Danio rerio: one gene and its partners. The protein of the gene in region 1 binds, or shares a complex with, the protein of each later gene. Links are inferred from orthologs where the notes say so. Each region holds a gene or a part of one and is shown in the gene's direction. Other genes may lie near its edges.

Evidence for each region.
Region 2: drc3 (region 1) and drc9 share a complex: the UniProt entries of both Homo sapiens proteins name them as parts of the nexin-dynein regulatory complex. The link is inferred for Danio rerio from reciprocal best matches to the Homo sapiens genes DRC3 and DRC9.
Region 3: drc3 (region 1) and drc8 share a complex: the UniProt entries of both Homo sapiens proteins name them as parts of the nexin-dynein regulatory complex. The link is inferred for Danio rerio from reciprocal best matches to the Homo sapiens genes DRC3 and DRC8.
Region 4: drc3 (region 1) and fbxl13 share a complex: the UniProt entries of both Homo sapiens proteins name them as parts of the nexin-dynein regulatory complex. The link is inferred for Danio rerio from reciprocal best matches to the Homo sapiens genes DRC3 and FBXL13.
Region 5: drc3 (region 1) and ccdc135 share a complex: the UniProt entries of both Homo sapiens proteins name them as parts of the nexin-dynein regulatory complex. The link is inferred for Danio rerio from reciprocal best matches to the Homo sapiens genes DRC3 and DRC7.

What each region holds. Positions count from the first base shown.
Region 1 is NC_133178.1:67,109,744-67,114,007, forward strand, and holds the start of drc3 (dynein regulatory complex subunit 3), read left to right. Parts: upstream 1-1,455; 5' UTR 1,456-1,530; intron 1,531-1,642; 5' UTR 1,643-1,647; coding exon 1,648-1,749; intron 1,750-4,264. UniProt on the Homo sapiens protein: Component of the nexin-dynein regulatory complex (N-DRC) a key regulator of ciliary/flagellar motility which maintains the alignment and integrity of the distal axoneme and regulates microtubule sliding in motile axonemes.
Region 2 is NC_133193.1:29,299,084-29,302,599, reverse strand, and holds part of drc9 (dynein regulatory complex protein 9), read left to right. Parts: intron 1-953; coding exon 954-1,105; coding exon of another isoform or gene 1,106-1,109; intron 1,110-1,177; coding exon 1,178-1,306; intron 1,307-3,516. UniProt on the Homo sapiens protein: Component of the nexin-dynein regulatory complex (N-DRC), a key regulator of ciliary/flagellar motility which maintains the alignment and integrity of the distal axoneme and regulates microtubule sliding in motile axonemes.
Region 3 is NC_133192.1:12,697,009-12,700,958, forward strand, and holds the start of drc8 (dynein regulatory complex protein 8), read left to right. Parts: upstream 1-1,134; 5' UTR 1,135-1,150; coding exon 1,151-1,172; intron 1,173-1,482; coding exon 1,483-1,567; intron 1,568-1,697; coding exon 1,698-1,770; intron 1,771-1,859; coding exon 1,860-1,939; intron 1,940-3,925; coding exon 3,926-3,950. UniProt on the Homo sapiens protein: Component of the nexin-dynein regulatory complex (N-DRC), a key regulator of ciliary/flagellar motility which maintains the alignment and integrity of the distal axoneme and regulates microtubule sliding in motile axonemes.
Region 4 is NC_133200.1:19,757,547-19,761,062, reverse strand, and holds part of fbxl13 (F-box and leucine-rich repeat protein 13), read left to right. Parts: intron 1-70; coding exon 71-180; intron 181-259; coding exon 260-358; intron 359-440; coding exon 441-536; intron 537-2,015; coding exon 2,016-2,291; intron 2,292-2,386; coding exon 2,387-2,487; intron 2,488-2,568; coding exon of another isoform or gene 2,569-2,571; coding exon 2,572-2,701; intron 2,702-2,978; coding exon 2,979-3,077; intron 3,078-3,516. UniProt on the Homo sapiens protein: Substrate-recognition component of the SCF (SKP1-CUL1-F-box protein)-type E3 ubiquitin ligase complex.
Region 5 is NC_133200.1:14,669,337-14,672,852, forward strand, and holds part of ccdc135 (dynein regulatory complex subunit 7), read left to right. Parts: coding exon 1-175; intron 176-262; coding exon 263-385; intron 386-1,614; coding exon 1,615-1,687; intron 1,688-1,772; coding exon 1,773-1,901; intron 1,902-2,018; coding exon 2,019-2,147; intron 2,148-2,226; coding exon 2,227-2,444; intron 2,445-2,693; coding exon 2,694-2,909; intron 2,910-3,428; coding exon 3,429-3,516. UniProt on the Homo sapiens protein: Component of the nexin-dynein regulatory complex (N-DRC) a key regulator of ciliary/flagellar motility which maintains the alignment and integrity of the distal axoneme and regulates microtubule sliding in motile axonemes.

The sequences.
Region 1 (4,264 bases):
ATTTGTCTTCCTGAATCTAAACCATCTTTTAATAAACCCTTTATTGTGAAATCCTGGTATCCTAAACTATGCAATTCCTCTTTAAGGTTTCTTCTTTCATTTTTATATGCTTTGCACCTTTTTAAAACATGTTCTACTGTCTCATCTATTAGACATGTGTTGCATAAACCTGTCTCATGTTTCCCCATTATGTGTAATGTTTGATTTAAAAATGTATGTCCTGTTCTTAAACGTGTTAAAATAACTTGTTCTCTTCGACTAAGATTATGTGATATTTTGCTTTTCTTTACTGTTTTTTGGATCTTATGATAATGTCTCCCTGTGTTATTGGACTCCCAAACTTTCTGCCATTTCCTATTACAAGCTTCTAACTCTGATTGGTTTACACACGCGGAACTTTTAATCCATTGATCAATATCGCTGTCAATCACGTGAAAAGTCTGATTTCCTTCCTTATTTTGTTCATATAAGCGTTACTTCTAAATGATCGGATTTCTTTTGTACACAAATATAACATGTTTATAATTTAGATATGTATTAGATACATATTTTATATTTTGGTTTGTTTATTTTATTTTATTTTTTATTTTTACGTATGTGTTACTCCTTAATGTAGGGATTTCTTATCTTCTTTTAAATGTATGTGTCAGAAACTCATATATATATATATATATATATATATATATATATATATATATATATATATATATATATATATATATATATATATATATATATATGTGTGTGTGTGTGTGTGTGTGTGTGTGTGTGTGTGTGTGTGTGTGTGTGTGTGTGTGTTTCAGAAACTAAACTGTACCATGAATATTCATGAGTATTCATCCAAGTCACGTAACATTAGTGCAAATGACAGGTTTTATCTATCCCCCAATATTTGTGCTCTGTTCTTTAAATGTTGATGAACGTGTTTATTTTAATTTTGCCTTGTATGTACTTATATGTGCAATAAAAAAAATTTTTATATAAATTTTAAAAATAAAAAAATTAAGTAATCTTGTTTAGCGATGTTAATGTATTTTGTTTTGTGACGTCAACAACCGAGAGGTGAAGTCTAGAAGGGATACAGCTGCGGACACTCACGTCAATGCAGCTTCGTTTTTGTGACATTGACATCAATAATTCATATTTTTACATTACTGTGAGGCTTGGGGTATTGATAGACGTTATAAAGAATCATCTTATATGTGATTATATGAATAATAAACGTTTAATTACTGTTTTAACATTACTGTGAGGGTTGTTTTTAGGGTAAGGGTAGGGGTAGATGTTAAAAAATACCACCTTATGGATGATTTTATACATAATATGATATTGGGGTGTGGGTTTAATAAAATACAATTGAATGGGTCACTTAGTTATTCATATGAATTAACATCTAGTCGCAGCTGTATCCCCTCTAACATCAACTGATTCTCCAAAATATTCCGGATGTTGTTGGTTGGTTGCTTAGCGCCGGTGTTAGCGTCGTGCAGCCGTCGTGTGCTACAGTTACAGAGCGCTATTTCCAGACAGGTCTGTAATCAATCAGATATAGGAACATGTGAGTGATATTGTATGCAGCTGTTTTCATACACTTGATGCCGTGTTATTGATCCGCTGTCTATCGCTAATCTCCGCCTGTCAGGGCGTATGATGAGCGGCCAGCAGGAGAAGCCCGGAGTCATCGACGAGCAGATGCTGCAGCGCGCGGTGGAGGAGCAGCAGACCAGAAACACAGAGGGGATACCAGAGGTGGGACCAAGTCATTGTTTGGCAAGTCACAAGTAAGTCTCAATTCATTGCCCTCAAGTCCCGAGTCAAGTCCCGAGTCAAGACAGGCAAGTCCCGAGTCAAGTCCCAAGTCAAAGGCAACAAGTCTCAAGTCAAGTCCAAAGTCCTATAGTTTGATTTTCGAGTCTTTTCGAGTCTTTTTAACAGAAAAATAAAATTTTAACAGATTATGTATGGCTGTAAGATCTGTATTTATTAAACATGATGAAAGAACATTGCTTAGATATATAAAAACACAAATGTAATGTTCTAAAAAAGTGCTAAACAGTGCTGCGTCTCGTCTACACAGCCTATTGCACAAGAATGAGTTCCACCAAAAAAAGAGTCCATTTTGCCTCACATCACACAGAAATTGCAGGTCTACTGCTGTCTAGTTCATTAGTTTAGTTGTGCTATGTTATGTCTTCAGTGATCAACTTGTGATTAACTAAAACTACATAAACAACCTCAATGAGGCAGCAGTAGACCAACAACTCCTGTATGCTGCAAAGTAAAATTGAGTGAAATTGGTATTTTGTCAATTGAATCTCGTGTGTGCTGAAGAGATGGAGATGCAAATCTGTCTAGCAGCAATGTAAAATGGTAGCACATATTCTAAATGAAGTAGGCTACTTCATACAAACAATAACGTTGTTTTCTTCACATAACAATGAAGAACTTTGCTCTCTACCTTGTGTGATGCTCGTGCACCGATTTCCTCTGTGGACAAAACTGCTTGCGAGCTCTCAAATATACGCTGCTCACGCGCAAATTTTCTCGCTCTCAAATATGCACTGCTCACGCACACATTTTCCTGCGCGCTCTCAGAGATTATATATAGAATTTGTGTCTTGTGTTTCCTCTTCCTTTTGTGCTTTTTGATATGATTTATATTGAGGCACTATTTATTAACAATAACCAAAATACTAAAATAGACTTACATATTCAATTTTTTATCTAATAAACCATAACATTTTGGCTGTATGTTTTATGATGAGATATTTCCAGTTTCAAACACTTAAAGACACAGAGAATAGAGGTTGGATGTAAAGAATGCATTTTGTTTTACAAACATTTATTAAACATTCAAAAGGTTCACCATACTAATCAAATAAAAAACATTTAAACAAAAATATAACTAACGCAAGCAGAAATGTAACTGTGATAAAAATAAAGAAAAACTTGATTTGGCATTATAGCCTACTGTACTATTCACTCTTTAAATAAATCCCACTATCAATCCCATTTTATCATGGCAACTAAAATAAAGTGAACACGTCTCTGCTGTCTTCCACATTATTGATGAGATTGTGGAGGACATTTTCCATGTCATCCTCTTCATTTTGAGGAAAAGCTGTTCCACAGGGCCCCTGAACACATCTATTGGCATGGACAGGGTTTTGAACAGTACTATAGTAAAGTACTTTAATTAATCTGTTGGGGTAATATTATAGTTGCTATGGTAACCCAAGTGTAATATAAACAAATGACCCAGTGCTGTAGTTTTTTTTACAGTATAGGGTATATTATACTACAATTCACCACACTTTACTGTAGTAAAACTACACTCTGTATTTCATTTTATTAGTTCATTATTCTTAATACTACAGTATGCTGAAGCATTCATTAACAACTTGTAAATAATACTAGGCTTAAACATAGGCAGTATACCTAACTCTCAAAAACACTAGTATTTATTATAGAATTTACCTTAACCTCATAGTTTTTCATGTATTGTTACTAAATAGTTTAGCAATATATAAACCATATCAACATTCTGGAATAATCAATTTATCAGGAGGATCTCTGGAGAGCAAAAGCAGGAAAATTATGAAGCGCCAGTGTGGACAAAACTCAAGCAAACGCAGAGAGACTGAATACGCGCGTGAGAGACCAGCAAATCAGATTGAAGTACCTGCCCACTGGTGAAAGTAATGTCAGAGCCAATCAGATTTTTCTTTCTTTTCATAAAGAACGGGGTTCGAATCCCCCTACTGAAAAAACAGCTTAAACCAGCCTAGGCTGGTTGGCTGGTTTTAGAGGGGTTTTGGTCATTTCCAGGCTGATTTCCAGCCATTTCCAGCCTGGTCTTAGCTGGTCAGGCTGGGAGATGACCAGCTAAAACCAGCTATGTCCAGCTTAAACCAGGCTGGTCAAGCTGGTTTTAGCTGGATTTTGCTGGTCAGTTTCCAGCCTGACCAGCTAAGACCAGGCTGGAAATGGCTGGAAACCAGCCTGGAAATGACCAAAACCCCTCTAAAACCAGCCTGGTCGACCAGCTTAAACCAGTTTACCAGCTTAGGCTGGTTTAAGCTGGATTTTTCTGCAGGGATATTGCTATGTTTAACCATTTATTAGAGCCACAAAATATCTAAAACTTGTTTTCATGTTTGAATAGCCAATAAATGTGATAAATAAATTAAAATAGAAATACCCACAGTGAAACAGTTATATAAATTTAAATATTAGTTTAAATACATTCATAATGGTTTTAAAT
Region 2 (3,516 bases), on another chromosome or scaffold:
TGAACTGTGGTGCTGAAGAACATCAACCCCCGCCAAGTGTGTTCATTTAAACGTTGGCTCTGAAATGTGTTCAGCTCTCATGCAAACTATTACTTTAATATGATTTTGACGCAGAAAGAAGTTTGACCTAGACAGGTTTCACAAGATTGATCCAGCTTACAGCAAATTTATTAGACAGCTCTTGTGTTGTAACTGGAGCTCAATGTCTTATTGAGACAAAATGGGGGTAAAAGTAATACTAGGTAATTGTAAACAGACATGTCCCAAACATGTTTTTGCTTTTTTATGGCACATTTTAAATACCGTCAGGCGTTTAACACATTAATTGTGTTAATATTGGGACATTAACACAATTCTCACATTTTTGGCTCTATACACAAATACAGTAGATTTGAAATGAAATTAACAAGATGTGTTTTAACTGCAGACTCATTCATTCATTTTCTTTTCAGCTTAGTCTCTTTATTAATCGCCACAGCGGAATGAACCCCCTTAACTTATCCAGGATATGTTTTATGCAGTGGATGCCCTTCCAGCTGCAACCGATCACTGGGAAAAACATACACACTCATTCACACACTTATACACTACAGAGAATTTAGCCTACCCAATTCACCTGTCCTGCAATTCTTAGGACTGTGGGGGGAACGATGCATGAATTACAACAGTTTGCATATGTGCCTCCTACTTGTTAGGGGACCAAAAGTAATGGGACAACTGGCTTATCAATTGTTTTATGGCCAGGTGTGTGTTATTCCCTCATTATCCCAATTACAGTGAGCTGATGAAAGGTCCAGAGTTCATTTCAAGTGTGCTATTTGCATATGGAATTTGTTGCTGTCAACTTTCATTGAATTTGAAATCCATTGTGTTGGTGTATAGAGCCAAAAATGTGTTAGAATTGTGTCGATGTCTTAATATTTATGGACCTGACTGTAACTCTCTTTATTTAGCAGCAAAGGACCGAACTGCATCTAAAAACAGCTCAACTGATGGCTGGAAGCAGTTTGTCAAATTTCTCAGGAGAACTCAAATCCCAAAAGCACTTCAAAATTCAGCAGACTCTGCTTGCTTCTGACAACCTGGCCAAAGTGCAGAAAGACAGGCAAGTACACAATTTTCTGATGTTTTGTAATTTTTAATAAGCCTTTATTCAATAAAATCTTTGTTCTTACAGGCAGTTTGTATCAGATGTGATCAATGCTTTATTGGAGGAGCTGCAGAAGAAAAACAATTTTCAGAGTCTCTTTTCTGCAGTGGCAGAGGAACGGAAGAAGAAAGCTGAGCTTCTTGACATAATAAACAGGTTTTAAGATGAACTGAAATACATAATGTAGCAGTATTGAGATGTGTGAAATTAAATTGAAACTTAAAAATAGGCTATGCAAGTATCTTTAGTGTGAATTTCTAAACCTGTAGTAACTTTACGCTGATTAATTACAACCAAAGAAAATAGATTTGAGTGACTCAGTAAACCTAACAATCCTAACACAGGTGCAAGCAATCATGAAAAGTGATATTTAAGATAGTCGATTGCTAGTTGTGCTTCTCCTTATTGTGAACCTAAAAGTAGCAACATGGGAACCTCAAAAAAACTTCCTAATGACCTAAAAACTAGGATCATTTATCATCATGAGTTAGGAGAAGAATGCAAAAAAGCTATCACAAAGGTTTAAAGTCTCTATCTCCACAGTCAGAAATATAGTAAGAAAATGGAAGGCCACAGGAACAGTTCTGGTGAATGAAAGATGTGCTAGACCAAGAAATATATCTGAAAGGCAAAGGCAAAGAATGGTTAGAATGATCACAGATAAACCACAGACCACCTCCAAAGAGCTCCAGGAACATCTTACTGCTAATAATGTCATTGTACATCGTTCCACAGTTCAGCGCACTCTTCCCAAAGAACAGCTCTATGGAAGGTGATGCAGAAGAAGACTTTTCTGCATTCTGCTAACGAGAAGAGTTGTTTGAGGCATGAAAAGGCTCATCTGGACAAACCTGGATCATTTTGGAAAAACTTAATGTGGTCAGATGCCACAACCATAGGTGTCAGGGTTCTGCCACTCTGGTCTTGTCCTGAGTCTGGACACTAGCTCTGTCTTGTTCTGTTGTGCTCGGCTCAAGTTTTCTCGGGTCGAGCACTTGTTTTCTGTCATTATGTGTGTCTCTGGGAGCATCAATCTCGTCGTAGCATCAAGCGGGAGCGCGGCAACTGTGCGTGCTTGGGACGCTCACTCTTGTACTTGTGTTTGTGTTTCATTCTCAGCGTCTCAATCTGGTTGGTTTTGGTTTCAGTTGGCGCTAAGATGAAACATTCGCGTTGTTTATGTGTAAGCGCCAGATAAGGTGTTTTAGTTTATTGTGTGCTTTTGTCTTGCGTCTATGTTTGTGTTGTCCAAGCACGTGGCTCTGTGTTTATATTGTGGCCACATGCTTCAGTCTTGTCCTTTATTGTGAATGCAAAGTTAATGAGTTCCTTCATTGGCTGCGTGTTCTAGTCTCGTTTTACGTGAGCACATGGCTTGTGTTGTCTCTTTGTGTCATGTGCTTTCCCGTCTATTGTCTAGTCTAGTGTGTTAATTTACTTCTGTTTATATTCTTCTCATGTTGTTCCAGTCCTGAGTGTTACAGTCCTGATCCCTGCCAGCCTTCCCATCCTAGTTAGTTTTGATTGTTTATTTATTTTATTAATGTTTTCTCCTTTGAAATGAATGTTTGTTTCATATTAAAATAAATAATTTTGTCTACAATTTTGTCCTCGCTCCCTCATCCTTCCCGAACCGTGACAGTACTAACTGCCCAAAATGAGGACCTAGCAGATCAAGCAGAATGACTCCTTCTTTAGCCACATGTCACAGCTTCTCAGTCTGCATGGGCTGCAGTAACATGGTGTGGACTTGTAGGAGTTTGCGGAGAGGTTCCAAATGGCAGCGGAGGGGCTTAAATTTAATGACTGGGCTCTTTTAAACCTCCTGAACTTTGCTCTTGATAAGCCCCTATATCCTCTCCAGATACAGAGATTGGTGGGTTACTCGTATTAACAGTTTAGACCACATGGTACTTCGAGAGGCTCATGAAAGTCTTCAGGAGAGAATCTGGTCTGTCATTCCATCTACAGACCCACATGAACCCAGCTCCCTGCTGCCTCCCACTGAGAAGAAATTGAGGAGAAGAAAAAGATCTTCCTCACTCGTTACCCCTCCAGTGGTGACTGAACCTGCTGCAGCCCATCCATCTTCATCTGCAGCATCACCCACTAAGGCACCTGCAACAGACTTCACCAGTCCTGCAGACAGTGAAGCATACTGCAGTGTTGGAAGGGGTGGCCAGCTTTCCGTCACAAAAAATAAGGAAGCGTAGTAGGAAAAAGGGCTCCTCTACCACAATGGCTCCAGCCCCAGAGCGCCCGCCAATGTCTGCTCCAGCCCCAGAGCACCTGCCAGTGTCGGCTCCAGCCCCAGAGCACCTGCCAGTGTCTGCACCAGCCCCAAAGAGGCTATCTTTATGAATTCC
Region 3 (3,950 bases), on another chromosome or scaffold:
TCTGTGTCTGACTGTTGTGATGTTTTGCTTTGTTTTTCAGCTGAGATTTTGAGCAAAGAAGGACTATTGAAGACAACAGTTGAAGACAACCGCGGGTTATAATCACGAGCGCGCGCATTATAATGTTTTCGGGCTGTTTTCTGAAAGTGTGTCTTTGTTTAGATAAGTTTGCATGTCAAACTAAATAAACTATACTCTTTCTAAACACCTGTCTCGTTTTATTTGTCCTCTACAGCAATGCACTGTCATATAGGTCTGTTGAATGCATTTGTATGCAACATGGTTTGACAATACAGTAGTCTAACAAATAAATAGTTGTTATAAATGTACCTTCATTAGTCAACATTTGATGTTATGTTATGATTGTTATACTATATTTATTATTATTAATATGCTGTATGTTTAAAACCAGCAAATTATACTATATATTTAACATGTCATAAACTTACTGTTATTTTAACATTTGCCAAATAAAATGTCCTAAGACAAGAATGGGTGTTGTTTTGGTTTTGTGTCAACCTACTGTAGGTTTTAGGTTGACTACAGCAAGGCTACATACATCATAGGGAGTTTTTTTATAACGGAATAAATATTTCACGGAGATGATTTTACTGCGTGAGAAAACTGATGTGTGGCGTGAGAGCGTGAGAATACGGTCAATTGCGTGACTTTCACGCATTTTGGCAACTCTGAAATATTAGTGTTTGGACTATGTGATTATTTATTACTATAGCAGGTACTATTTAGCCTATATATTCTCCTGGATTGTATAAGTGCTTCTGATTTTTATTTAACACTGACATATTTATACACATAGGTAATTTAGACATGTACTCTTTATTGGTGCTTTCAAACGAATAATCGCGTTCATGCTTGTACAAAGGATGTATAAAAATGTTCCTTACATTCTTCCTTTTCTTCTGTTTTTTTAGTCAGTACTGAACTTTCCCCTTTTGTGAGCAAAAACTTTTGCTAGTCTATAAAAGATGTTCGGCATTTCTTATTTTGGTCGATTTAAACAATCATAAACAGCATAAACAGAAACATTTTTTTAAACTTCTGAAAGCGGTTCCTACGTAGAAGAACCACTTCCTGCCCTCCGTCTGAATGGCGAGTGTGTTCAGGTTACCTAGCAACCAGGGTTTTAGACATGGCGGACAAGTATAATGCAGGTAAAGATGCTACACGTAAAATGCTACGCTTTTTTTACGTTTGTGGGCTTACTGTATGCTTATTAATGGTGTTTGTATTCTCAGCATGACGTGTTTTTAAATACAGTTGCCATTACTACGACTGTTACCAGATCAATGATGTTTGAAAAGTTTTCAGTAACGTTGTTTGTTAACGTCGAGTAGTTAAAGTAACAGTAAAAGACCACACAGACAGCGAACATCTACAGCTGAATTGCTTTGTAAACACACACACACAAAATAAAATAAAAATGCGGAAAAACACAACGTTAATTAATGTATTTTTTATCAGAAAATATTATAATAGAAACTCAAAAGAGGATTGGGAATGCCTTTGATGTATTTGACCATGAATCCAACAAGACTGTTGATGTCAGGTAACGTTTCACTACGCTGTTTTTCAAAATATATTAGACCATTTGTTGATGTCTGTTAGCTTTGTTCTGCACATGTTCTACAAACAAGGAAGACTTCTTTAATGTTATCTGTCATTTTTCACCGTAAAAGGGAAATAGGCACCATCATTCGTTCACTTGGCTGTTTTCCTTCAGAAGCTGAATTGCATGATATCATCTCTGAGGTCAGTGGTTTTGTTTTGCCGGGTCATAAAATGCATCGCTCTTGTAAGTTGAGTAGATCAATAGTTATGAAGTGTCATTTCATTCACAGCTAGAAGAAGAAGAACCCACTGGATTTGTGCGCTATGAGAAGTTTCTTCCAACTATGACTAAGATCCTGCTGGAGCGCAAGTAAGACTGTAATGAAATAAAACAGTATGAAACCCAGATTATTCTTAATGTTTTTAAAAGGTCACAGACTGATAAATCACACAAATGCATCTATATATTTATATACAGTCTAACTCAAAATTATTAGCTGTCCTGTAAATAATTTTTTCTTACTCAGTTATTTTTAAATTGATATTCAACAGAGCAAGGATTTTTTTTTTCTTCTAGCAAAAGTCTTATTTGTTTTATTTTGGCTAAAATAATGGTCTTTAATAAAAAAAAAACATTTTAAGGTCAATATTATTAGCCCCCTTTAGCAATATTTATTTTCGATTATCTAGAAAACAAACCATTATTATACAATGACTTGCCTAAATACCCTAACCTGCCTAATTACCTTAATTAATGTAGTTAAGCCTTTAAATGTCACGTTAAGTTGAATACTAGTATGTTGAAAATCATCATCATGGCAAAGATAAAATAAATCAGTTTGATGTGTCAAATGAGTTATTATAACTATTATGTTTAGAAATGTGTTGAAAAAATTCTTTTCGTTACAGAAATTGGGGAAAACATTTACAACGGGGCTAATAGTTCAGGAGGGCTAATTATTCTGATTTCAACTGTACATGGATATATAGTGCTAGAAGATGAAGCCAAAATGTCCAAGGTATCAACTTGCACGGATCGTATAATTCCCACAGTTCCTACACACCCAATTGCAAGCACATAATGGCATGCATCCAAATAAAAGCAAACTTATTAAAAAATGTTCCGTATATACATCAACAATTGATGTAACGAGAAAACAAGGCGACACAGTGGCGCAGTGGGTAGCACTGTCAGCAAGAAGGTCATTGTTTAAAGCTCTGGCTGGGTCAGTTGGCATTTTTGTGTGGAGTTTGCATGTTTTCCCTGTATTGGCGTGGGTTTCCTCCTAGTGCTCCGGTTTCCCGCACAGTCCGAAGACATGTGGTATAGGTGAATTGAATGAACTAAATTGGCCGTAGTGTATGTGTGTGAATGAGTGTGTGTGGATGTTTCTCAGCACTGGGTTGCAGCTGGAAGGGCATCCGCTGCATTAAACACATCCTGGATAAGTTGGCGGTTCATTCTGCTGTGGCGATAAAAAATAAAGGGACTTAGCCGAAAAGAATGAATAAATAAGAAAACATTAATTAAACGCTTACCTTCTCTTCGATAACATTGAGGGAGCAGGGCTTTTTAAAATGTTCTGCAATCAATGACCAGAGAGCAATGGAAATATTTGGATTTCCCTTTTTCTATATTTGGCCTGTGTGAGCCAAAATCTCACTAATAAAATGTGTTGTCGTGTCTAAAGCAGACAAATGTTTTGCCTCTACATGTAGATGTGCTGGGGGTGGATTTAAACAATATGCAAGTTAATCGGCCGCTCAGGGCCCCAGTTAATCTGAGGGCTCCCAAATAAATACCTAGAATTATAAATTATACATATAAATATTATATATAACATTGCTTTCTATCATATTTTCCCCTACCTTCAATCATGGACCAGTTCAGCTGTCAAATCAGTAAAGATTTAGTTTTAAAAAACGAAATTGTTTATTTATAGTGAATTTATCTTAAGAAAACAAATGATTTAAAAAGTTTTATAAGGTGCTTTACATGTTATTATTATTTTGCATTAAGATAAAATGTAGAAAAGGAGATTGATTGATATAAGAAATAACAGCAAAATAATAATAAAAAAATTAAAGTACAAAAGGTGCCTTTTAGAACTTTTGGGTCTAATGGCTGGAACAGCTTAGGGCCCCAAAATCACTAAATCCATCCCTGAGACGTACAGTATATGACTATAAGTGTTTTAACATAATTTGCAGTACCTGTAAAAACTTAAAACTAAAATAAAATAAACATTTGATTAAATAAATATTTACTTTGCTAAAGTTTTTCCCACAATAAAATTTAATACAAAGCCTAGTATTAGTGATAATTGTAGCTCTGCTTCTTTCTTTTTTCTTGCAGGTTTCGTCCTATTACAGAAGACCTG
Region 4 (3,516 bases), on another chromosome or scaffold:
TAAATTTAGTGTGTTATTATTTCTGTTCTCTCTATATATCATGAAACAAGGCATTCTTTAATTTATCTAGATGCAGAGAGGAAACTACAGAAGGTTCAAGAGTCTGTACACTGCAGAAAAATCATCACGGCTTGGCGTCATGTTGTGCAGGACGCTAAAAGAACAAAGGAATACTTTAAGGTATAATTATTAAAACAATCAGCTAAACCCAAATGCATTGAATTCATGAGATATTCAGCTATTATACATGTCTGTTCAGAAACTAGAAAGAGATATGAAGGAAAGCCAGAACTCAGGCATACCACAGGGTGATGGACAGGACAATCTGTCACTGCTGCCCAACAGGCTGTTTCTCAAGGTATCATTTGACTACCACTAACTGTTAAATAACTGGCAAAAACGTACAATCAGCTGTGATTGAAATGAACCGTTTGGTGCAGATCTTCCAAAGTCTAGGTGTGCGAGACCTGCTGAAATGTGCTCAGGTTTGTCAATCATGGAAAGCAATCACTCAAATCAGCTCACTGTGGACTGAGGTTAGTGCAGCTGACCTAAAAACTGTCAAATTTTCCCTTTAGAATTTAGAAGTGCATGTTTAATATTTGTATACATAAAATCTTTAAGAATATAGTAAAAGTATATAAGAAAATCAACAGATTTGCCCTTTTTTAAACACAATGATGTTATATTAATAATTATATTAAAGCATATTGTGTACTTGCACTTGAAAGTGTTGTTTCATTTGTGACAATGCATGAAAATATAAGATGCTCATTAAATACAAGGCAGATTCAATGAAATGTCAGTTAGTAATGCTTTAACATCACCCTCATTGAACCCTCATGTTCCAAATTTAAATTACCTTCTTATGTGGAATTAAGGTAAAAGCTAACAAGATTTATTTCCCATTGAACTCACAGACAAAAAATATTATATCAATTGGAAATCAAAATGAGGAAATTTTTATGGTAAAACTTAATGTTGTCTTGACAAAGATTTCTAAATTTTTATGTTGTTAGATGTTAGAGAAATTATTAACATGAATTAGTATGTTTGTAACATGATTTAGCATGTTGTTTATTTTATAACAAGCACTATTACTGTATGTTGCTAGCTAGACTTTTGTTTGTGTGCCTCTCACATGAATTAGCATGTTGCTCGCATATTTCAAACAACAATCTACATGTTTCAAACTTAAATATATGTATCTAACATGAACTGGCATATCTTGTTGTTAGCAATTAGCATGCTGTTACCATGTTTATAATTTAAAATACCATCTTTCTAATATGAATAAAAAGTATTAGTATGTTAACTATGCTTTATTAGTGAATTTGCATTTATGCTTCTAACAATAAGCTAGCTGCTAATGTAAATTCCACTATACTGTTAGCACAAATTAATTTCAAGCATAAAGTTGATAGCAAATAACATGTCTCCAGCATAAATTACAGTGTTATCCAGCAAGCATGTTTCTTGCATGGTTAGCACGTTGTATGCTAGTTGATAGGCTTTTCTAGTTTGCAAGTAGCTTAAGATCTGAAAGTTAAAGCCTGGCAATGAAAGTCTTTGGGATTTCTTTATTTTGAGGATCATTTAGAAGTTATATTGCATAAACATGTTGATCAGAATGACTGTCTAATGTGAGTTTGGTAGTTTAAGCTTCAAGTTTTAGGAATACTTTAAGACCAGACTTTTATAAATGTTAACTCAGAAGAAGACGAATCAAAAACTATCCTGTAATCGATTTTTTGACGTGTTTTTATGCAAATGTAAGATGTCAATTTGATGTTGTTTTGACAATAAGGTACTTTACTGTACATGCATTGTAAGGATACAATCTACAATCTACAATATAATCCAGTGTAATCATCAGTGTGTAGATGTCAAATGGACGCATTAGCATTGTTGCTGAGTTTTTTAAAATGTTGTTTATGTCGTTTTGACATAGTGTCGTTTGCTAAGTGTGCTAAAGGCTTCATATACAGTGTAACCTGTGAGATGTATTTCCACAGATTGATTTCTCTCCAGAGAGCAGCTGGATCACAGATCAGATGGTGGAGAGAATCCTGCGGCTTCACCGTGTTTATGTGATCTCTGTAAACCTGTGTGGTTGCAACATGGTGCAAAGACTAAGTTTCAGACGCATCAGTACATTTACCTTCATTTACCAAACAACTGCATTTATTTTCTGCTTTGTTAACCTCATAAAGATACAGAATACTTTTGTTTTTAAAGGTCAATGCAGGAATCTTCAAGAACTGGATCTCAGTGAATGTCCAACTGTTAATGCAAGTATACAGTTCATAGTCTTAGGAGTTTTCTGCTTATTTAATTTTCGGCTCTTCAAAACTGGCGTGTGTTTTGTTTGAAAACACACTGACAGGATGAAAATATGAAGATGATTTTAGAGGGATGTCAGTCTCTCCTCAGTCTTAATCTGGCCTGCACTCACATTGCCAACGCCACAATAAAAGTCCTGGCAAGGTACAAAAGTCTTATGTTTCTCAGATCTTCAGACTGTACTCAACAATGACTGAAGTTTTTTTCTGTACTGAATGTTTTTAGTAGATGCTGTGTGATGCTGCGGTCTCTGAATCTGGCATATTGCATTCATTTCTCTGATAAAGACCTGCAGTATCTGACCACAGGGACGGGTTGTCGCAGACTCCGCCATCTTAACCTCTCCGGTTGCTCCCAGGTTAGTTTTGACTTGCAAACTATTCTACTGTATCATTTAAAAAAAGTATCTTAGGCTTTCTATTAGTTGGTGTTATTGGTTATATGATGCAAATATACAATATATTTAATTTACTACTACATGATTATAAATAAAGGTACCCAAAAGTTAGTTTTTCAAAGTTATGTCATGTCCTCTAAGAAATACTTAGTTAGTCAATCCTATTTTTATTACACATTTAACTACTCTTGACTTTATCCCAGAGTGATCAAATACAGTTTTCATTTTGTACTTTTAGATAACTGTGGATGGATTTACATGTGTTGCAGAGACTTGCAATTCACTTCAACAGATTGTGTTGAATGATCTTCCCACCTTAACTGACATCTGTGTGCAGGTAAGTGTTATTTATTGTGGCCCGAGAGAGCTTAACGTGCTGCAACCTAAGAAGACACATGCGAATAGAAAAAAATAAATAAATAAATACCGGCAAATTAGGAAAACATCTTAGTCGGTTTGACACACATTGCAAAGCCTCACTACAGAAACATAAATTAATATTGTACTGCAAATCCTCACAATGCAAACACAAATAGATAAACACGCTGTAAATTGACAGAACAAAGATCAAGGTCCATAATAAAATTCATAAACATTACAACATTTGTAAAACACCTGTGAATTACAAAATTCGGACACCAGATAAATAACAGATATTTGTTTTGTAGTGTCAGACAAAATTATATAAAAATATTCAACTCAGTGATCTTAAATAAGCTTTTGCCACAAATATTCTAGCGGTACTATTAATTTCACTTTAAAATACCTAAAGTAAC
Region 5 (3,516 bases), on another chromosome or scaffold:
TCACAGCTGGGTTCTGGTGCTCTCGGGAAGCCGTGAGATACCTGAAAACTTCTTTATTGACCCTCTCACAGGAAAGGGTTATTCGACCACCAATGAGAACTTTGTGGGTATTGAGAGCATCTGGAACCACCAAAACTACTGGGTCAACAAGCAAGACTGCTCTTTCGGTTGTGGGGTCAGTAACTCTTAGCGTAGATGTGACATTGTTTTGGGTGAAGATGACAAGCTTTGTAAAGGTTATCGTGTCTGTTTGTGTTTGCAGAGTATGACGTTTGACTTGGGTGATCTATCAAAGTGGGAGTACATGCTGTGTGGACTTACTAGCCAATCCATATCAATGATTTCAGAACAAAAATCACCCCGAGAGCCGGAAGACGAGGAGGAAGTACAGAAAGACTGTTCATTATTTTTTTTTCTATTTAAATTTAATGCCACTGTAATGTGGCTAGCTAGTGAAAGCTGTGTAGATAGACCTTGATATTTCTCTTTCCCTAACAGAGACGCTAGAATTAAGGGGTTACGTTGGTGCCGTGACCCTGGTGGGAATGAGGTTTAGAGTAGGTAAATATAATGAGGGCCAGCTAGTAAGAGGTTTGTATGTACACCCCACTCAACTGCCATCAAGAGGTGCACTAGCAACAGATGCTATAGACTTTATGATTCTTGCAAGCACACCTGCCGCCCATATTATTTATTTCAGTTTAAATCCCACTTTGAGTAGTGCGAGTAGAACTGAAGGGTTACATTGGTTCCATGACCAGGGTGGGAATGAGGTTTAGGAGGGTGAGTGTAATAAAGGCCAGCTAGTTTGTGAGCCTGCCTCCAATACTGAAGACACTTATGCGAATAACACTCAAAGTGTGTGTCTGACGTGGGAGTGAGGTTTTGGGGGCGGGGGTGGGGATAGTGTAACAGAAGCCAGAATGTAACAGCTGTGTGGAGATCAGCTAATATAAACTGTATGACTAGGGCTGCGTTCCAGTCCAAGTTTTATTCCCTTGACTTGCTAACTTCCTACATCTCGTTGACCTGCATCTCTGTCCACTACTGCCAGAACATCTGAATTGGATTAAATGGAATGCCTTTGGGCACTTGGAAACTACACTGTTGTAACACCAATCACATTGCATTGTGAGACTTATGGGTGCTGGAGTGTGCATATGAAGCAAACTTGTTCCCTCGGGTCAAAATCAAGGGGTCATGAATCATGTCCATTTAAGCCAGTGGTCTCAAACTCAATTCCTGGAGGGCCGCAGCTCTGCATGGTTTCGCTCCAATCACTTCCAACTCACACCTGCTTAATAGTCTTTAGTAGTGTTGAAATCCTTGATTAGTTGGATCATCTGTGTTTGATTATAGTTGGAGCAAAACTGCAGACCTGCAGCCCTCTAGGAATCAAGTTTAAGACCTTGGATGTAAGCTTCCCTCATTTCCTTGAAGTGGAACTTCAAGTGGGGATTAGGGAATTTTACAATTACTGGTCTGCTTTAAATTCTGCTTAGAGATGTAAGTAGAACTTGAGGTGGGCCACAACATTATTGACTTAACTTACTGTACCAGTAGCAGACCGAATCTTTATCCAAAGTTATTAACCTACATTCCTATCTTCTAAAGGAGGAAATTGATGAGCTGAAAGCATTTGAAATGCCTACATCTTGGGTGACTAAAATAGACATTCCACCTCCAGGTGAAGCCCTCACTTTCTGTGTTTATCATCCATTTTCCAGAATTCCTAAGGATTATTTAATAAATCACATTCTGCTTTTTTGCAGATATGGAAATGCGTTATCCAGGGGGTTCGAAAATACTCCAGTACAGGAAAGCCAAGCTAGAGAAGTTTGCGCCATACCTTCTGAAAGACGGTCTGGTGACCAAACTTACCACTTATAAAGACCTTGAATGTAAGACCTTAAATGACTTCAGCAGATTTATTACTTTATTTGAAATCATGTAGAAATGATTGTTCACCCAAAAACGAGCAGTTAGTTAAATCAGACACACACTGTCACTTTCTTAAGGCACTCAACCCAACACTATAAAGGAATGGTTCAAACATCGAAGTGATCATCTTGAGGAGAGGGAGCTACACACAGACAGCAATGTGACAACTGAGCATTTTAGACCTGGAAGAAGTGATGCTCTTAAATGTAATCAAACACACATTTAATTAGTTTCTGATGTCAAAACTTGCCTGAGCAAACGGTTTAAAATGTTACTTTTGCTTAGACCATAGGTACGTGACGTTAGTTCCTGAGACTGAGCGTCAGATGGACTTTTATGGTCATACTTGCACCGATGGACTAGCCAGACGAATTGAGAAGCAATCTGAAATGACTGAAACCTTTGAAGACCGGACTGACTTCCTCTATTATCGTCATATTGTTTATGGAAAACAAATTAAAGTGATTCGGGCTGGAGAGGCTCTTAATCAAAGGCCTATAAAGGTAGTGTACGAGCTAAACAAGCTTGACCTTTAAATTTCAAGCAGTTTAACCCAGTGTTACTTTAGAATCTTAGAATTCTTGGTTGATCTTATTTATACCTGATCCCTTGTTTAGGCAGTTTTAAGACAGGACTACAAGTCAAAAATCAACAAAATATGTTAATCCAGGAGCACTGCTAGCGGTATTGTTTGCAATAACCGTCCCACAGATAGAACAAGTTATTTAATTCAATTCAAACGTCTCCAACAGAGTGTGGAGGAGCGGTTCCACAGAGATCCTTCTAAACCTGCAAGTAAAGATGTGGCTGAAAGGAACTTCAAGATGTCGGACGGAAAGATTCAGGTGACCTATCATCTAGAGGACGACAGGATCATCCCAGCATGGATGAACTTCATCAAACCAAAAGCAGCAGCAAACTCGCAGAAAGGACAAGATTTTTCTCCTGAGATGGTGTCTGGCTTTCAGGTCAGAAATTTCATTGGTTGAGTTCAAGATCAAGATATTTTTTTTATTTTATTTATGCTCCCCTGACATTAATAGATGCAGACCCTTTAGACTGTTTAACAGAAATATGTTCAATCAGTCACATGGCAGCAACTCAAATAGATCTTGTGTGTGTGTCTACTTACATTAGTGCATTGAAATCCAACACTTCAGAAACTGTATATTCAGTTCAAACTGGTAATGGTGTGTATAGAGGTGGTAAATATTTTCTTTTTGCAATTTGGGCCCTTTATTCACCAACAATATTCAGGTCAACTGTGTGATTTAAACTAAACTCAATTGGTACCATCAATACCTTGAAATCGAGTGAGTGGTCTTTAAGCCTTTTCCTGGAGACCCTTTCCTACAGAGCTACAACCTTTATCAATAACACCTTATTAAGGCCTTCAAGATTATTTGGAAGTTAAAGGTGATAAGGGCCAGCGTTGAGAATCCCCAGTTTATAAATGGTTTAATAGATTGTTCATTTTGCATCTTCAGGTTGATCCTTTTGCAAAACCCTACAACGACTTGCAGCTTTACAAAATTCTTTTGGAACTGATGAGAGATGAGGAGAATGTTGAACTTC